Arabidopsis thaliana: one gene and its partners. The protein of the gene in region 1 purifies or fractionates together with the protein of each later gene. This does not show direct contact. Each region holds a gene or a part of one and is shown in the gene's direction. Other genes may lie near its edges.

Region 1 (6,249 bases):
TGTAAGTTTCAATAGCATGTCCTCTTAAACGTAGTGAAATCTGTATTTGATCACTCATGGAGATCTTGTCCATTTCTCATTTAACTTATACAGAGAAGGAATCTTGAATTATTTGGAAGACATTCCAGCTGCTGAACTTTTTGAGCAGCTGTTTACTTCGCTAGTAAGTTTTTCCCAACAAATTGCGTATTTTTCTTTTTGTGAAGCTTTCTATCTGTAAGGTCAATCTCAAATTCTCTCACTTGCGCTACGTTAAATGGATGTCATTGGTTACACAGTTAAGGTTTTAGCTGTAAATAGCACTTTGACGATTGGATTGGTTAAAAATATTTCAGGTTTCCCTGGGGTTTGTGATGGTGGAGCCAGTTTTAGCTACAAACGATGACTTGTCAAAGCTTTTCTTTGAATGCAAGGATTATGTAGTCGCTATTTGTCAGGGGGGCGCATGGACCGATAAGCTTGATGATCTATGCCAGGTACTTTACTAGAGAGCTTTGCACAGATTCAAAAACGTATCTACATGCTTGGAAATCTATCACTTTAATAGAGTTAAGAATGTTTTATCAGATGCCAAAGTAAGGCCATGTGGATATGAACATTATGCTCACTAATCATACATCCTAATTGCATTTATTTGGTCATAATAGGTATACGAGACCGTGGAAACAATGTTATTACGTCCAGAAGAAGTTTTGAGATCAATGAAACAAACAGAGGAGTCGCCATCAAGTGGCAGCGAAACGAAACGGCGGTTTAAGCGGCTAGGTTTCATCTTTCGTGGTAGTAAAGAAAGAAAGCAGACAAGAGTTCCATCAGAAACTGAACAGAAAAGCACCGAACCTAGCCCACGCCAATCATTCTCTAGTCTTTTTGATGGCAAGTCGTCTCTGTTTTCAAAGAGACCTCCTAGACCTGAAAATGTGACGCTTGTCTGAATCCATATTATTTATTTGATTTGTTTCATCTGCTTTTAAGTCATTTCTCAGTTTTTTGTATTCTTCTTCTGGGGTTTTAGGTTGTTAAGTTGATCAATTGGTTGGTAACTGTAAAGTTATCTTATTTAAAACATTTCTGAAGGTATGGTGAAATGCAAATAAATGGAAATGAATAAGATGTGTAAAAGCTTTTAGAACATTTGTGTAAATTATTAGATTTCTGAGATGCTGTTTTAGATGGTTGCCTAAAATTAAGAAGTTGAAAGAGTTGAATGAACATTCAAACCAATTTTTTACCATTTAAGATAAATAAGTTGGAAAAATGATTCAACCTAAAAAGTTGAAAAAATGAATTAATTATAAAGAATTTTTTCTCAACTTGTTCATCTCCTATTTTGCAGAGAAATGAACTGAATTTTATTCATTTCTTTTTTCAACTCAAATTTTTCATCCATATGCAACCATTTGCACCTTAAGGTTTCTACACAAGATATACATAAGAAAAATCAAAACTCTCTAGAGTTGGTTACTTTCCCACAATAAACTTTTCCTAATGTTTAGGTTGTTGTTTGATCAATTCCTTGGTAACTGTAAGTAAATTGTTTCATTATAACATTTCTCAAAGTGATGGCAAAAAAAAAGAAAAAAAACATTTCTCAAAGAAAATAACATGGGCCGTTGGGCCTATGGACTATTTGATGTTACTAAAACGCAGACGTTTTCGAGAGTTCATATTACTGAATCCAAATTTAGAAGCGTAATAATAATCAGAGATCTTATAATAATAATGTTCATATTATTCGTTTTACACAAGGAAATAAGACACGTGTAAAATCCTCTGAATTTTCCATATTCTTTCGTGACTTGCTCAAAGCAGAGAAAGGTCATATGCTTTTCTCCAGTTCCTCTCTCTGTCTATCTCTCTCCTCCTTCAATAATTTCTGCAAACCCTAACTTTCTCATTCGGCGCTCAAGTTTCTCTCCACCCCTTCGGTGAGATTTCAATTCCTCGGTTTTCTCTTGTTTTCATTTTCGTCTTGTTGCTGAAAGTCACGAATCTGAGCAGTTTTTATGTTTTGAAAGCCATAATAGCAGGATTTAGGTTTCTGATTTTGAGAAAGTAGTGTTGAGGATGAACAGATTCCATTTTCCGACGATTTTTGATTGATTGTGTTGCGTTTATGATTACGAGTGTTGAATCTCACCGACATCTTGTTGTTACAGAGATTTGGTGCGATGATGTTGCGTGCTGTTTTTAGGAGAGCTTCCATTAGAGGCTCTTCTTCTGCTTCGGTTAGTGTTTGATTCGTTACCATTTTGATTTGATTTTTCTCCGATGTGATAGTTTTTTTTATCTAATTGATCTCTCTCTCTGTTTCAGGGATTGGGAAAATCATTGCAATCCTCTCGTGTTGCAGTGTCTGCTCAATTTCATTCTGTTTCAGCAACAGAGGTACTTTTTTTGTTCAATGATTCATGCTTGATTTTGGTTCTGTGGACAGCTATTTATAAATTCAATCATCTTAGGATGTGTTTAACTAGTTGATTCTATATGCTTCTTCCATGAACAAGTTATTTAACTGTCATTACGAATTGTACAGACGTTGGTGCCTCGTGGAAACCATGCTCATAGCTTCCATCACCGTTCTTGTCCAGGTTATTATTACTACCTTTTTTTGTTGTTTTTGTTGTTTTGCTAGGTTAAGATCTTTAACTTGACAATTGTTCTCTTATTTGCAGGGTGTCCAGACTGTTCAAGGTTGGTAACTCAGTCCTTTTGTTCATGTATAAGACTCAATTCTCTCACCATTTTCGCTGAAAGTGTTATATTCATGTGTGTAGGACTATTATCAACGGTTACCAAGGCACAGCCCTGCAAAGATGGGTCAGGCCCTTTTCATCTGATAGTGGTATGATTGCTCTAGCTGAAACTTTTCCCTTTATGTCAAGTTATTTTGGTTTTTCTGTCCCATGTTTTGGAACACCAGAGCTTAGTCTTATGATCCGTGTGGGTTAATTGGATTTGCTCTTTACTGTTATTGTAACTTGTATTTCTAGGCTTTTTGACTCACACTTTTTTGTATATGTGATTGAAGGGGATGTCGTGGAAGCTGTTGTGCCACACATGGGTGAATCAATCACTGATGGCACCCTAGCCGCCTTTCTGAAGAGTATGCTTTTCTTTACATTATCTTCTTGCTCGTTTCTTTCCGGTGCATTTATGTATCTAATATTTTCATTGTATGTGCTTATTGTTCTTGCAGAACCTGGCGATAGAGTAGAAGCTGATGAGGCTATTGCACAAATTGAAACTGACAAGGTATCAAACAATTACTTATCTTATTATCTCCATTCCAATAGATGTTGGTCAGTATCTTGTGTAGCTTTCCTAATACTAGTGTTTGATTCATCTATGTGCTTTAGGTTACAATAGATATTGCTAGCCCAGCAAGTGGTGTGATCCAAGAGGTAAACTATTTGTGTACTTTAATGTTCCTGTCGTTCTTCTCTTGTGTTCCTATGCCCAATTACTTTTTTCTTTTTTGCAGTTTCTAGTCAAGGAAGGAGATACTGTTGAACCAGGAAACAAGGTTGCAAGAATTTCTACATCTGCGGATGCTGTGTCTCATGTGGCACCCTCAGAAAAGGCACCAGAGAAACCTGCTCCCAAGCCTTCTCCTCCTGCTGAGAAGCCCAAAGTTGAAAGTACCAAAGTTGCAGAGAAACCCAAGGCACCATCACCGCCACCTCCACCGCCATCCAAACAGTCAGCTAAAGAACCGCAGCTTCCACCTAAGGATAGGGAAAGACGGGTATGAAAACTATGTCATTTATTCTTTACTTATATAATGCTCCGTGTGTTTTCTCTATGAAAGAAAAGCATTTTACGTTCACAAGATTTGATGATATCATCTAACATCGATGCAGGTTCCTATGACAAGACTTCGCAAACGGGTGGCAACTAGGTTGAAAGACTCTCAGAACACTTTTGCGTTGCTGACAACTTTCAATGAAGTTGATATGTGAGTTACAGTTGACAACCCCATGTTGATATGTCTCTTTATCATTTTGAAATGCCCTTAGTGCACTAATTTTAACCCAACTCTTAAGTTCACCAACAAAACTTTCCTTCTTCACGTAGGACTAATCTGATGAAGCTCCGATCTCAGTACAAGGATGCTTTTCTTGAAAAGCACGGAGTGAAGTTGGGGCTTATGTCTGGTTTCATTAAGGTATGGTAAAAAACTCAAAAGTTTCCTGAACTATTTAGCATATCAGGACTCAACCGATTAAGTAATCTTCTTGAACTATTTGTTTCAGGCTGCTGTTAGTGCCCTCCAGCACCAACCTGTAGTAAATGCAGTTATCGATGGAGATGATATCATTTACAGAGACTACGTGGATATCAGTATCGCTGTTGGTACCTCTAAGGTTTGTTTCCGCAATTCTTTTGACATTGAGTGATAATATCATTTGGGCTTTTGAGATAGTTTTGATTGATTCCTCTTCTCTGTGTATTGTATCCCAGGGTCTTGTAGTTCCAGTCATAAGAGATGCTGACAAAATGAACTTTGCTGACATAGAGAAAACAATAAACGGTCTCGCTAAGAAGGCTACTGAAGGAACCATATCAATCGATGAGATGGCAGGAGGATCATTCACAGTATCAAATGGTGGTGTCTATGGAAGTCTTATAAGCACTCCTATCATCAACCCTCCTCAGGTTCGATTCGATCCTTGCAATACTAAAAACCAATCAAAGAAAGGTGTTTTTTTGTTTGTTTGTTACTAATGCAAATAAATCTATCATACGTAGTCTGCTATTCTTGGAATGCATTCAATTGTGCAACGTCCAATGGTTGTGGGAGGAAGCGTAGTTCCGAGGCCAATGATGTATGTCGCGCTGACTTACGATCATAGGCTAATTGATGGAAGAGAGGCTGTGTATTTCTTGCGCCGTATTAAGGATGTTGTGGAAGATCCTCAGAGGCTTCTTCTCGACATATGATAAAGATCCAAGACAGAAGAGATCATAAGTTTCTGTCTTTTTACCAGTTTCCTTTCAGGTAAAACCATTACGGATACTGCAATCTGCAAATGATGCTTTGAAAAAAGAACGAAACTTTTTTTTTGGAGTTTTCTTAATAGTTTTAAGAGTTTTTGCCGGGCGAGGAAAGCATCGGTGTATTGAGTTTTCTTTTATTTTATAATATTCATACAGTTTGAACAAAATGTTACAATTTTGACTTTCAAAAAATAATGCCACTGATAATTATTGGTTAAAAATGGTTTCCATTTCCATGGAGTTGCATTGTTCATTATGGGGTACTGAGGATGTATGGTTGTTTCTTGTTGTAGGGGATAATTGTCCGAAAGATATATCTTTAGTATCGGTTTAGCCAATATCAAAAACAAATTACAAATATATGTGACCTCCTCACCTTAATTTTTTTACTTGGATTAAGGAAAAAATTATGACATTTTAAAAGTTAAACAATAACTGAAATTTGATCTCACTCTTCATTAAATTGTATGCTTGCTTCCGATTGGAATGTCAGACTTGATTTTTTGGATTTCAAGGGTTTGTGACGCGGACATGGACGATTTCAAAGGAGCAATACAACACGTATAGTAAGATTAATCTCGTTTTATGTTGCTAAATCTTTTGTACTAAAATAAATAAATAAGAACGTGTATTACTTAAAAATTAAAATCTTACAAAAAGTGAACAAGTAAACGTGTAGTAAATCATAGATATTTGAAGATACAAACGGTTCTGTTTCTTCTGTCTTTTTCCATCTGTATTTTATTGAAACAAATATTACAACAGAAGAAGCCCAAAGACAAAGAAAGTAAGATAGTCCAAATAGAAAGTCTGCAAATAGAACGGTTAAAAGGGTTTGCAAATGCAAATAGAAATAACAATTTTATTTGTTAAAAGGGTTTGCAAAGAAAAAAAATACCATTTTAATATATATATATATATATATATATATATATATATATATATATATATATATAGTCACAATCTCAATCTTACATGTCCATGTAAATTACAAATATATAATCCACATGAACAGTACTTACAATCATCACCAAAAACTAGATACGGGATAGATTCGTCTCATAAATCATAAACAGTACTCAAAGCTAAAACGACAATTAATTAAATGATTACTCAATCGATAAGGTATTAAATTCAAATGATATCCTCGTCATTAGGAGTGGCTGAGTTCCCGCCTCTACAGCTTCAATCCTGCAAATACACACAAAAAAACAAACATTTTAGATCAAAAATTAAAGAAAAAACTTT
Region 2 (4,906 bases), about 18 Mb from region 1:
TTGAGAAGACGGTTAGGGATGGAACATGGACTAGCTTTACACTGTTTTTGTTCATTGTAGAGACTATAGCTAGAATCTGAGCATCATGGTTGAACTTCATGAAATCTATCTTGGATGTGAGATTGTCCACTGTCTTTATCGGCTTTCTTTTGCCTCCCACAAACTCAGATTTCTTGTAAATGTTTACGATTCCTCTGTCGGTTCCAGAAGCAAACAATGCTCCGTTAAGCGAACTGCAAAGAGAAGTGCCACAAGTGCTGCCTTCATCCACGCCTTTGTATAAGCATTTCATTGTTCTCAGATCCCAGACATAGACTTGCCCGTCACCTCCTGAGCTCAGCAAATGCTTCCCATCTTCACTAAATGCTAAAGACCTAACTGAACCATTCATCTTTAGGGTTCCTATCAGCTCTTTTGTTTTTGTAGACACAAGTAAGATATAACCTTCGTTGCCAACAAAAGCTATGGTGTTAGAGTCTTGTGACACCTCGAAATATTCCAAGCTTTTCTCCTCTCTACCAACCAAAGGGCCAATTTTGTCAAACTTTGCCTTCTCCAAATCAAAGCTGTAAAAGAACTTTCTTCTTCCGGAGACAATGACCTGAGAGCCATTGGGCAAGAAAGCCGCTTTACGAATGGGACAGTCCTCAAGAAAAATGCTCTGGATCTTGGTGTTCCTCTTTCCATCAATCTGGAAAAACCTTAACCGTCGATCCAATCCAGCAGTGAGAAGCAGCTGAGCGTTCTGATGGAAGTGGACAGAGTTTATTGGACCATTTGAAGGATCCGCTGCATTGGCATCCACAAGCTTAGAGTATTCAAGACGACCAGCACACAGCTTGTTACCACGAGACTTCACCACAAGATCTTCATTCGTTCGAAGGATATCATCAACTCCTCCATCCTGAGTATCATCATCATCTGAAGACTCTCCATCAACTATTTGAGAATCTGGCCGAGCCCAATCAGTCCCCGGGTTTAGCTTAGCATGATGAGCCCTCAGCCTTGCAATGTACTCAGACCCAGAGATCAAACCCTCATTCTCCTCTTTCCTTAGCTTCCTTAGACGGTTGACACTAGCTATATCAACGTTTATCTGTTTCTCTTCTTCATCCTCCCAGGCAGCTTCTCCCTTTCTAATTGCCACAACTTGACCATTCTCTTCATCAGAAAGCTCTTCATCATCATCACCATCATCCTCGTAGTCAGGAATCTGCCTCACAGCAGAACGGTCTACATGAAACAAAGCCGAACCATCTTCTTCTTCTTCCTTACCAAACGTAACAGGAGAGTAGAGTGACCCGAATATCAAATTCTCAAGCTTTTTCATTTCAACCAGTTCCGATTCTTCTAGCTTCTGCTTCTCCTTCTCTGTCTTTCTTCTCTTTCCCCTAGTGAGATCATCATCGGACCCAATCTCTTCCTCATCTTCAACATCTTCGTACTGTTTCTTGAGCTCCTCTCTTTTAATACCCTTACTTTTCGGAGCATTCTGAGATAAGCTCATCTTTCAATACCACTAATTCAGAGCTGCATGAAACAAACAACGATAAGATTCGCAAGCTCGTTATCAATCCGTAATTAAGCTCTCATTTCGGGAAGAATTACTACAAAAGCTACTAATTTGACCTAATTCATGCACAAATTTGATTACAATGAAGAAATAACTTACAACGTTGACGAGCAGAGAAACCTTGTAGCCGGTAATTGTCGGCGAGAGAGCTTCTACCCTTCTGGTTGGATTTTTTAGGGTTTTAGAATTTCATTTTCCAACAAAAGATAAACAAATAAAAATTGGAACTTGTCGTTAATACAGCCCTTTAATGGGTCAACGGGTCTTATGTCTCTTGAAAAAGCCCATGGGCCAAGACAGGTAAAATAACAATGTCACTTTCGTAATTATCGCAAAGTATATGCCTTGTTCCATCAGATTCCATTTGCCCAATAAAGCCCGAGTTTCGAGAGTTAATACCTCATTGGTGCTTTTGGTTTTGGCAAAGCGTGAGTGAGATCGGGAATCAAACATCGCCTCCGTCTCTCATTTCAAACGCTATCTCCATCTCCTTCCTCCGCCGCCGCCATGGAATCTCCGAAGAATTCTCTGATCCCGAGCTTCCTCTATTCATCATCTTCATCTCCGAGATCTTTCCTCCTCGACCAGGTGCTCAATTCCAACTCCAACGCTGCATTCGAGAAATCTCCTTCTCCGGCCCCGCGTTCCTCTCCTACGTCGATGATTTCTCGGAAGAATTTCCTTATTGCATCTCCCACCGAGCCAGGGAAGGGGATCGAGATGTATTCACCTGCCTTCTACGCTGCTTGTACCTTTGGTGGAATTCTCAGCTGTGGTCTTACTCACATGACCGTGACTCCTCTCGATCTCGTCAAGTGCAATATGCAGGTATGTAACCTTTAGATCCGTTGTCTTTCGTTTGTTTTCTGAGCTCATGTTTGTGGATCTGTGTTCCTGTGTTGTTTAGGTAGTGAGATCTGTGTTGCTAGATCTGTGATTTGATTTTCTTTATCGCTTTGTTGTTTTCCTGACTATTGGTTTTGTGTTTGATTTCAATATCTGAAGAATTGTTTGATCTCTGATAAACGCATCTTCGTCTATCCATTTCCATGTTATATATGAATCATTCTATTTCAATATACGTTAATATGGTCTGATTTCTGGTTCTTCTTTCGAAATATTGTTACTTGACGTGTTATGTGTTGAATGGTTCACTTGGTCTTGCAAAACTGATATATCTTGTTATCCAGATTGATCCAGCGAAGTACAAGAGCATCTCGTCTGGTTTTGGAATTTTGCTGAAAGAGCAAGGAGTCAAAGGCTTTTTCCGTGGATGGGTTCCTACTCTTTTGGGTTACAGTGCTCAGGGTGCCTGCAAGTTTGGATTCTACGAGTACTTTAAGAAGACTTACTCTGACCTTGCTGGACCTGAGTACACTGCCAAATACAAGACTCTCATCTACCTTGCTGGTTCTGCTTCTGCTGAGATCATTGCCGATATTGCACTTTGCCCATTTGAAGCTGTGAAGGTTCGTGTTCAGACACAGCCTGGATTTGCTAGGGGGATGTCTGATGGATTTCCCAAGTTTATCAAGTCCGAAGGATACGGAGGGTGAGTTTTTCAATACCAATAACATTATCTCCCTTGTTACTGCTAGCCTTTTGGTCTGATTTCTGATTTTTTTGCAGCTTGTATAAGGGTCTTGCTCCACTCTGGGGACGTCAGATTCCTTGTAAGTTCTGGCCTCTATTTTGCAACCTGTTGCACAATCTTTTTTTTTTTTTTTTTTTGTTTATTGATGAAACATATGTAGTTCTTTAAAAGCAAAAGGTGGTGATGATATCTATGAATTTTACAGACACTATGATGAAGTTTGCTTCCTTTGAGACCATTGTTGAGATGATTTACAAGTACGCAATCCCCAACCCAAAGAGTGAGTGCAGCAAAGGTCTGCAACTCGGAGTGAGTTTTGCCGGAGGTTACGTTGCCGGAGTGTTCTGTGCCATCGTTTCTCATCCAGCAGACAATCTAGTGTCATTCCTCAACAACGCTAAGGGAGCAACCGTTGGAGATGTAAGTCACTATGTTTGAATACAATAGCCTAATGCTAGAATGGCTGTGGTTTGGTAGTTGTATACAAGCTATTGATTTCTGTTACGGTAGAAATAATATTTAATGTTTGTAAATGACATGTTGCAGGCGGTGAAGAAGATTGGTATGGTGGGACTGTTCACAAGAGGGCTTCCTCTTAGAATTGTGATGATCGGGACGTTGACTGGAGCACAGTGGGGATTATACGATGCCTTCAAAGTGTTTGTTGGCCTGTAAGTTCCTCTCTCTCTTCACTTACTTTCGTACCTTAATTGTACCTTCAAAATGCAAAACTCTCAATTCTTTTGATTTGGTATTCAGGCCAACCACTGGTGGTGTTGCTCCAGCTCCTGCCATCGCAGCTACTGAAGCCAAAGCCTAAACAATGACGAAAAAGGTTATTAGGAGTTCGATGGGGTAGGATTTTTGTTTGGAAAAATAAGAGAAACCATACGGTGATGAGGAAGAGTGAGTAAGCTCAATTTCTTCCTGATTTGAACTTTATCATTTTTGTTTTTTTTGAAATTTGTGTTCCTGAATTCAGGATAGTGCTCTCTCTCTCTTTACATACTCTCTTCCTATTGTTTCTTGTCCTTTTTTTCTTTGTGTGATGTAATCTTAAAAGATGAGAGGGACACACTCCAAGATAGAGAGAGTGGGCATACACCCACTCACTACTTTTTATTCAGTTTCAGTTGAAATTCTCTTTTGGTTGCTCTATCTATTATTTTACTTTTTTGTTTTAGAGATTATATAAAATCTCGTTTTAAAACATCAAATCATAGATAGATCTTGAATACTAATCATATGTATACGTTTAACCGCTAAGCGCTAACATAAGGAAAATATTATGTAGGCAAATGATTAATAAACATATGATAAAAAAAACAACGTCGCCCACCGTGGGGCTCGAACCCACGACCACAAGGTTAAGAGCCTTGCGCTCTACCAACTGAGCTAGACGGGCTTTGTTGCCCAACTAAGTTACTTAACAGTTTGATCCCAATTAACAGATGTACCCTTGCAATTGGATTCCATTCGTCTAAAGGCTCTAACAACCAACCATCTGTTGTCAAACCAGTAATTTTGAGCGACGACGATTGAGGGACTAAGGACTTGATTGGTTCTCCCTCTACCACCCGCAAACGCTGCGTTTGCGGTTGGTAGCGGTTGTTAGCGATTGACACCAATCATAAAAACCGCTAGATATCGCTTTAAACCGCTCGAAATCGCCAGTTTTCAAAAGCTCCTTTCCGCAAGCGTTTGCGGTTGCGGGCGGTAGCGGTTAGGTTAAAAAGAAT
Region 3 (6,033 bases), on another chromosome or scaffold:
CACTTTGTTGGCTATTATCAACAGGTTGTGTATTCTGTGATGCCTTTTTAGCTTTTTCTGCTGCTTTTCGTTTACGAAACTGCTCAAGCTGAAAATCCAGAAATTAAACGATAAGAAACACACAATTTTACGCATTCATCTTTAAAAAAAACAAGCTTTTTGTCGAATAAATCTCAATTCTGATTGCATGCGTTAGGACATCAATCTCAATTCCAATATAAACAACCCACCTAAAAAAAATGATCAATTGACTCAGCACCGACAAATTTTAGGGGCAAATTCAAAGTAACGAGAGAATCAAACAAAAGATGATGATTATGATGATGATGATCTACCTTACGGCGTCCAGCTTCAACGTCCTCTTGCCTCCGGGAACTAGTAGCTGATGCCATTGAAAAATACTCGAAATCTCGCAGAGGGAAATGTTCCCTCTCCAATTGCTTCAAATCAATGCTTTTTCAATTACCATTGAATCCGTTTTAGCCAAAGCCATTCCCGGAAATCGCCGTTGTTATGATTGAGGAGAAAACTCAAATTTCAAAAAGCCCAGATCCTGACGCACAGATCGAGAAGATATCGTTGAAATTTCGGGGTGGAGGAAACAGATGGAGATCTCGAGAAAACAAGTTCAAAAATCGATGGAATTGTCAAACAAAGAAATCGAAATTAGGGTTTTCGATCTGAAGGAGAGGAGGACGAAGTTCAAATATTAATTTTGTTCGTCAGATCTCTTTTTAACAGATCCCTTTCTTTTTATTTTCCCCTTCTCTGCTTTGAATTAAACGTTTTTACTCGTTTTTTTTTTTCTTTGTTTGGTTGCAATTTTTTTTTAACGTTCACTCATTGTTTGTTTGGTGAAATTTAGATTTCATGTAGCTTTTGATTTTAAAAATGTATAAGAAGTGTGTAATGTATTTGTTCATAGTCTGTTGTATTTTTTGAAAAATAAGAGAGAATGTTTAGGTAGTAAGAAAATTAAGAGAAAAAAAAATGGAGAGAAATGAGTCGTGATGGACACATATGACAGGTAAAGAAAATAAATAGGAGCATCCATGTGGCCCGTGGAACATGACGACAGCCCACCAAATTACTCATGTTTTTAAAGAGAGAAATTGACAAATTTTAATATCAATAGAAGCTTCAAATTCCTCTACTTTAGGACAACTAAAAGAGCAAAGTAATGAAGAAAAAAAGTGAAGCAAGGTCAACCTTTTGGTATCATCTAGGTGTTTATTATGGGGTTTGGTTCACTTTTTTGTTTGCATTGTTTGGATTTTGGATTTCTTTTGGAGTTCTATTTCATATTATCAGTTTTTATCTTTGCGTATTTAAGAAACTTTTACTGAGGTAAAATATTACACAAATTGCCACTGATTTTAGAGAACAAATTCAATTTAAAAAACTCGAAACACCGATTTGTTTTGTAGAGCTGAAGCAAACCTAAACCAAAAACCTAATCCAACCGGAACCATTTAATTACCGTTGGTTTTCTTTGGTTTGGTGTGGTTCAGTTTGATTAGATTCAAGGATATTTAGATCAAGCGATATAATTTTATTTTATTTTTTGGTTAAACGCTATATAAAATTTGACATGTATATTATGGCAAAATCACAAATGCTGGTTATCAAAAGATGAAAAAATGAAATCTGTTTCTTTGGGGCAAAAAATATTACAGAAATTAAATTGGAAAATGAGATTAACGACTTTTTTTTTTTTTTTTTTCGTCAAATGAGATTAACGATTTTTAAGTTTGAAATGAAAGTTAAACCCTAAAGAGGCCTAAAACCCTAAAAGGCTCATATAGTAACTAGCAGCTGCTTCTAGACTCTTCTCCTTCGCTTATTAAGCCCTCTCAACTCTTCTTCTCTCTCTCTCTCTCTCTCCGCCTGTTCTCCATTGATCTAATCTAACTCGCTCATCAGAATCATCTCTTCATCGTTAATCCTCTTCCTTCTCACTCACCATGTATCGTTTCGCTTCTAACCTCGCCTCCAAGGCAAGGTAATGAACTCACTTTCTTCGTGTTTTTTATTCACTCTCATTGGAAGCTAATGAGGAATTAAATCGATTTGGGTTTTGATCTACTCTCTTCAAATTCATCTGGGCTCTCGAAATCTACTAGCTTAATCCCGATTCTGAATTGCCAGTTCTGATAATAAAAATGGTGTCTTTATTGTTCTCTGTTCTTCAGGATTGCTCAAAACGCTCGCCAGGTTTCCAGCAGAATGAGCTGGAGCAGGAACTATGCAGCGAAAGAGATTAAGTTTGGTGTTGAAGCTCGAGCTTTGATGCTTAAGGGTGTTGAAGATCTTGCTGATGCTGTTAAAGTCACCATGGGTCCCAAGGTACTCTTTTTCTTCTACACATTTTGATTTGATTTGGACATGATTTGGCCAGAGGTTCCTTCCTTAGCATGTGATTTGGGTGACCGGTTGATTCTGTATCGAATTTGGTCTAAGACTTTCTGCTTTATGTGATTCTAATTTTGAAGGGACGTAATGTTGTGATTGAGCAAAGTTGGGGTGCTCCTAAAGTGACAAAAGATGGTGTTACTGTTGCCAAAAGTATTGAGTTCAAAGACAAAATTAAGAACGTTGGTGCTAGTCTTGTGAAGCAGGTTGCAAATGCTACTAATGATGTTGCTGGTGATGGTAAGATATTTCATTTTGATTGATTATGCGGTTCATAGTTGTAGAAACTTTGCAAAACTATGTACCAATGCTTGTTTAACTTGTCATGCAGGTACTACTTGTGCTACTGTCCTCACCCGGGCTATATTTGCCGAAGGATGCAAATCAGTTGCCGCAGGAATGAATGCAATGGACTTGCGAAGAGGTATTTCCATGGCAGTTGATGCTGTGGTGACAAACCTTAAAAGCAAGGCTAGGATGATCAGCACATCTGAAGAGATTGCTCAGGTTGGAACCATTTCTGCTAATGGAGAGAGGGAAATTGGTGAACTTATTGCCAAGGCTATGGAGAAGGTTGGCAAAGAAGGTGTTATCACAATCCAAGTAAGTAAATCGCCGAATGATTGCTCATGTTGCTACTTATATATTGGTCAAAACATAATTCTGACGTGGGTATAATGCATTGCAGGATGGAAAGACATTGTTTAACGAGTTGGAAGTTGTAGAGGGGATGAAATTGGACAGAGGTTATACTTCACCATACTTTATCACTAATCAAAAAACCCAAAAATGTGTAAGTTTTTTACTCCCTGCTCAATTAAGTTTCTTGATGTGTCATATCAATTATAGAAGTTACTGAATTGGAATTAATCTATGTAGGAACTAGACGATCCTCTCATTCTTATCCACGAGAAGAAGATCTCAAGCATCAACTCTATAGTGAAAGTGTTGGAGTTGGCTCTGAAGGTATGTCTACTTTATCTTTATAGTAAATCTGTAATCATTTTCTCATGTAAATGCTGTGTGAAAGGCATCTGATGTGGTTTCTGTTGTCCAAATAAAATCTTACAGAGGCAAAGACCACTATTGATTGTTTCTGAAGATGTGGAAAGTGATGCTCTTGCAACTCTTATCCTTAACAAGCTCCGTGCCGGAATTAAGGTTTGAACAACAGAAGCTCTTACTACCGTCTCCTGACTTTTAGCTATGACTTCTTTGCTTTTAGATTAATAGTTTCCTCCCTGCAGGTCTGTGCCATCAAGGCCCCTGGGTTTGGAGAGAATAGGAAGGCCAATTTGCAAGACCTTGCTGCCCTTACTGGTGGAGAGGTAGTACATTTGTTGTGTAATGTGTTAGTCTTGTCAACAATGGAATATTATTGACTTAGCTTGATACAGGTTATCACAGACGAGCTTGGCATGAATCTGGAGAAGGTGGACCTAAGCATGCTAGGAACCTGCAAAAAGGTAGCCTTTGAAACCTTAACTGATATAGACATGGTGGCTCTTAGTATGAACTAGATTTGGCTATTACATTCTCAGCATATCCTTGTTGGATTGTAAGTGTAGTTGAGACTTGTCTGGCTATTTGTATAGGTTACAGTCTCCAAGGACGACACTGTTATTCTTGATGGGGCTGGCGACAAGAAAGGAATTGAGGAAAGATGTGAACAGGTAATTTTTAACCTTATACCCTGATAAATTGGTTAGTAATAAAATTTGTATGCAAGAAATTATGAAGTGTATGAAAGTAGTTCGTTCTAATTGCTTGGTATTGCAACTAACAGATTAGGTCAGCAATTGAACTGAGCACCTCAGATTATGACAAGGAAAAACTGCAAGAAAGGTTGGCTAAGCTCTCTGGAGGTGTTGCAGTGTTGAAGGTTAGTCCATGTTATAATGTTTTGGGAGTCTTAGAATCATAGCAGCCTGGTTGTAAGTGTCTTGTTATAACTTCTGGAGCTAATTGTGTTTAGATTGGAGGAGCAAGTGAAGCTGAAGTTGGTGAGAAGAAAGACAGAGTGACAGATGCTTTGAATGCCACTAAAGCAGCAGTTGAAGAGGGTATTTTACCAGGTATGTCTCTTCCAGTGAGGAAGACTCTTTGATATAGTGCTAAAAAGTTTGCTATGTGCTAAAGAAACAAATCAAAACACTTGCAGGAGGAGGTGTGGCTCTTCTATACGCAGCAAGAGAGTTGGAAAAACTTCCAACAGCCAACTTTGACCAGAAGATTGGTGTCCAGATTATTCAGAACGCATTGAAGGTTTTCTATTCTTTAGAACTAAAATCCTCTGATCTGATAATTGATGACAAGAAATTGTTTTAACGAGTTTTGGTTTACCAGACTCCTGTTTACACAATCGCTTCAAATGCTGGAGTTGAAGGTGCTGTTATTGTTGGCAAGCTCTTGGAGCAAGATAACCCAGACCTCGGTTATGATGCTGCTAAAGGTGAGTTTCACAATCCATCATCACTTCACTTTTGTTCTCTCTGAAGATTGCATTTAGCTAACTGTGGAGAACAAACTAGGTGAATATGTGGATATGGTGAAAGCTGGAATCATAGACCCTCTGAAAGTGATCAGGACAGCTTTGGTTGATGCTGCGAGGTAAATAAAAAGCGAACACCCTAACTAACAATGTTCTTCTTCATTTCGATATATGAGTCTTAAGCTAAAACTGTATACTTGCGTTGTTGGCAGTGTGTCATCTTTGTTGACGACAACGGAAGCTGTAGTGGTTGATCTTCCGAAAGACGAAAGCGAGTCAGGAGCAGCAGGAGCAGGCATGGGTGGAATGGGAGGCATGGACTACTAGATCCACTAAATTCTGTCTTTTGTTTTCACCAATCACCATCTTAACTTGAGAAGAGAGATACGATTCTTTTAGGAGTTTTAGTCTTCGTCTTTGCCTTATTGTTGCTCAATAACCTCAAAAGTTTTACAATAAACAGAGCACACTTGGCAATGTTACGAGACACACTATTAGCATCAACAAATTTTCCTAAGGCATCATTTGTGTTTGTCATTGCTTCTGGTTCAGGTCTGGTACTCCAACAATAAACCGACCCTTCAAATTACAGTATTTATATATATACCCAAGTTTCATCGTAGTTAAACCAAGATTTAGCAAAATTAAGCAACCACTAACTGAAATGCACCAAAAAAACGAAAACCACAAAATCCAAATTACCATGAAATCGAACTGAAATATATTCCGGTTATATACATTGACACAAACCGAAGATAACCAAACTATTTTCAGTTATAATTCATCTCCGGTTAGCATCTTTGATGTTGTCGAGTGTCGACCATGGCATTGCGTTTCCCGCCTCGTCTCCTCTCTCAGCTGAAGCTATCTCGGCGTCTGAATTCTCTCCCGGCACCGGTATCTGAAGATTCCGAAGACGAATCTTTAAAATTCCCATCCAATGATCTTCTTCTCCGAACGAGTAGCAATGATCTCGAGGGCAGTTATATTCCCGCCGATAGACGTTTCTACAACACGCTGCTGAAGAAATGTACAGTCTTTAAGTTGCTCATTCAGGGAAGGATCGTTCATGCTCATATCCTTCAATCTATCTTTCGTCATGACATTGTTATGGGCAACACTCTTCTCAA

Evidence for each region. The genes of interacting proteins can lie anywhere in the genome.
Region 2: the proteins of AT5G55070 (region 1) and PHT3;1 purify together in Arabidopsis thaliana (affinity purification with mass spectrometry, with the first as the bait; one large-scale study listed by BioGRID). This does not show direct contact.
Region 3: the proteins of AT5G55070 (region 1) and HSP60 purify together in Arabidopsis thaliana (affinity purification with mass spectrometry, with the first as the bait; one large-scale study listed by BioGRID). This does not show direct contact.

The regions. Positions count from the first base shown.
Region 1 is NC_003076.8:22,345,466-22,351,714, forward strand, and holds AT5G55070 (Dihydrolipoamide succinyltransferase), read left to right. Parts: upstream 1-1,745; 5' UTR 1,746-1,928; intron 1,929-2,159; 5' UTR 2,160-2,171; coding exon 2,172-2,228; intron 2,229-2,316; coding exon 2,317-2,388; intron 2,389-2,536; coding exon 2,537-2,591; intron 2,592-2,675; coding exon 2,676-2,694; intron 2,695-2,777; coding exon 2,778-2,845; intron 2,846-3,031; coding exon 3,032-3,106; intron 3,107-3,199; coding exon 3,200-3,255; intron 3,256-3,359; coding exon 3,360-3,404; intron 3,405-3,484; coding exon 3,485-3,748; intron 3,749-3,863; coding exon 3,864-3,958; intron 3,959-4,077; coding exon 4,078-4,168; intron 4,169-4,256; coding exon 4,257-4,367; intron 4,368-4,464; coding exon 4,465-4,659; intron 4,660-4,752; coding exon 4,753-4,944; 3' UTR 4,945-5,002; exon of another isoform or gene 5,003-5,362; intron 5,363-5,516; 3' UTR 5,517-5,703; downstream 5,704-6,249. Other genes in the region: AT5G55060 (Rab3 GTPase-activating protein catalytic subunit), read left to right, coding at 1-1, 94-163, 336-476, 648-935; RAN4 (ras-related nuclear protein 4), read right to left, coding at 6,111-6,184. UniProt on the Arabidopsis thaliana protein: The 2-oxoglutarate dehydrogenase complex catalyzes the overall conversion of 2-oxoglutarate to succinyl-CoA and CO(2).
Region 2 is NC_003076.8:4,530,140-4,535,045, reverse strand, and holds PHT3;1 (phosphate transporter 3;1), read left to right. Parts: upstream 1-1,926; 5' UTR 1,927-2,080; coding exon 2,081-2,401; intron 2,402-2,763; coding exon 2,764-3,125; intron 3,126-3,202; coding exon 3,203-3,246; intron 3,247-3,372; coding exon 3,373-3,587; intron 3,588-3,713; coding exon 3,714-3,838; intron 3,839-3,926; coding exon 3,927-3,987; 3' UTR 3,988-4,403; downstream 4,404-4,906. Other genes in the region: AT5G14050 (Transducin/WD40 repeat-like superfamily protein), read right to left, coding at 1-1,507. UniProt on the Arabidopsis thaliana protein: Transport of phosphate groups from the cytosol to the mitochondrial matrix. Mediates salt stress tolerance through an ATP-dependent pathway and via modulation of the gibberellin metabolism.
Region 3 is NC_003074.8:8,667,049-8,673,081, forward strand, and holds HSP60 (heat shock protein 60), read left to right. Parts: upstream 1-1,723; 5' UTR 1,724-1,964; coding exon 1,965-2,002; intron 2,003-2,192; coding exon 2,193-2,346; intron 2,347-2,492; coding exon 2,493-2,652; intron 2,653-2,743; coding exon 2,744-3,015; intron 3,016-3,100; coding exon 3,101-3,205; intron 3,206-3,291; coding exon 3,292-3,378; intron 3,379-3,483; coding exon 3,484-3,573; intron 3,574-3,659; coding exon 3,660-3,740; intron 3,741-3,809; coding exon 3,810-3,878; intron 3,879-4,007; coding exon 4,008-4,085; intron 4,086-4,198; coding exon 4,199-4,294; intron 4,295-4,387; coding exon 4,388-4,487; intron 4,488-4,573; coding exon 4,574-4,677; intron 4,678-4,758; coding exon 4,759-4,864; intron 4,865-4,943; coding exon 4,944-5,022; intron 5,023-5,115; coding exon 5,116-5,230; 3' UTR 5,231-5,530; downstream 5,531-6,033. Other genes in the region: BLI (BLISTER), read right to left, coding at 1-88, 336-392; AT3G24000 (Tetratricopeptide repeat (TPR)-like superfamily protein), read left to right, coding at 5,726-6,033.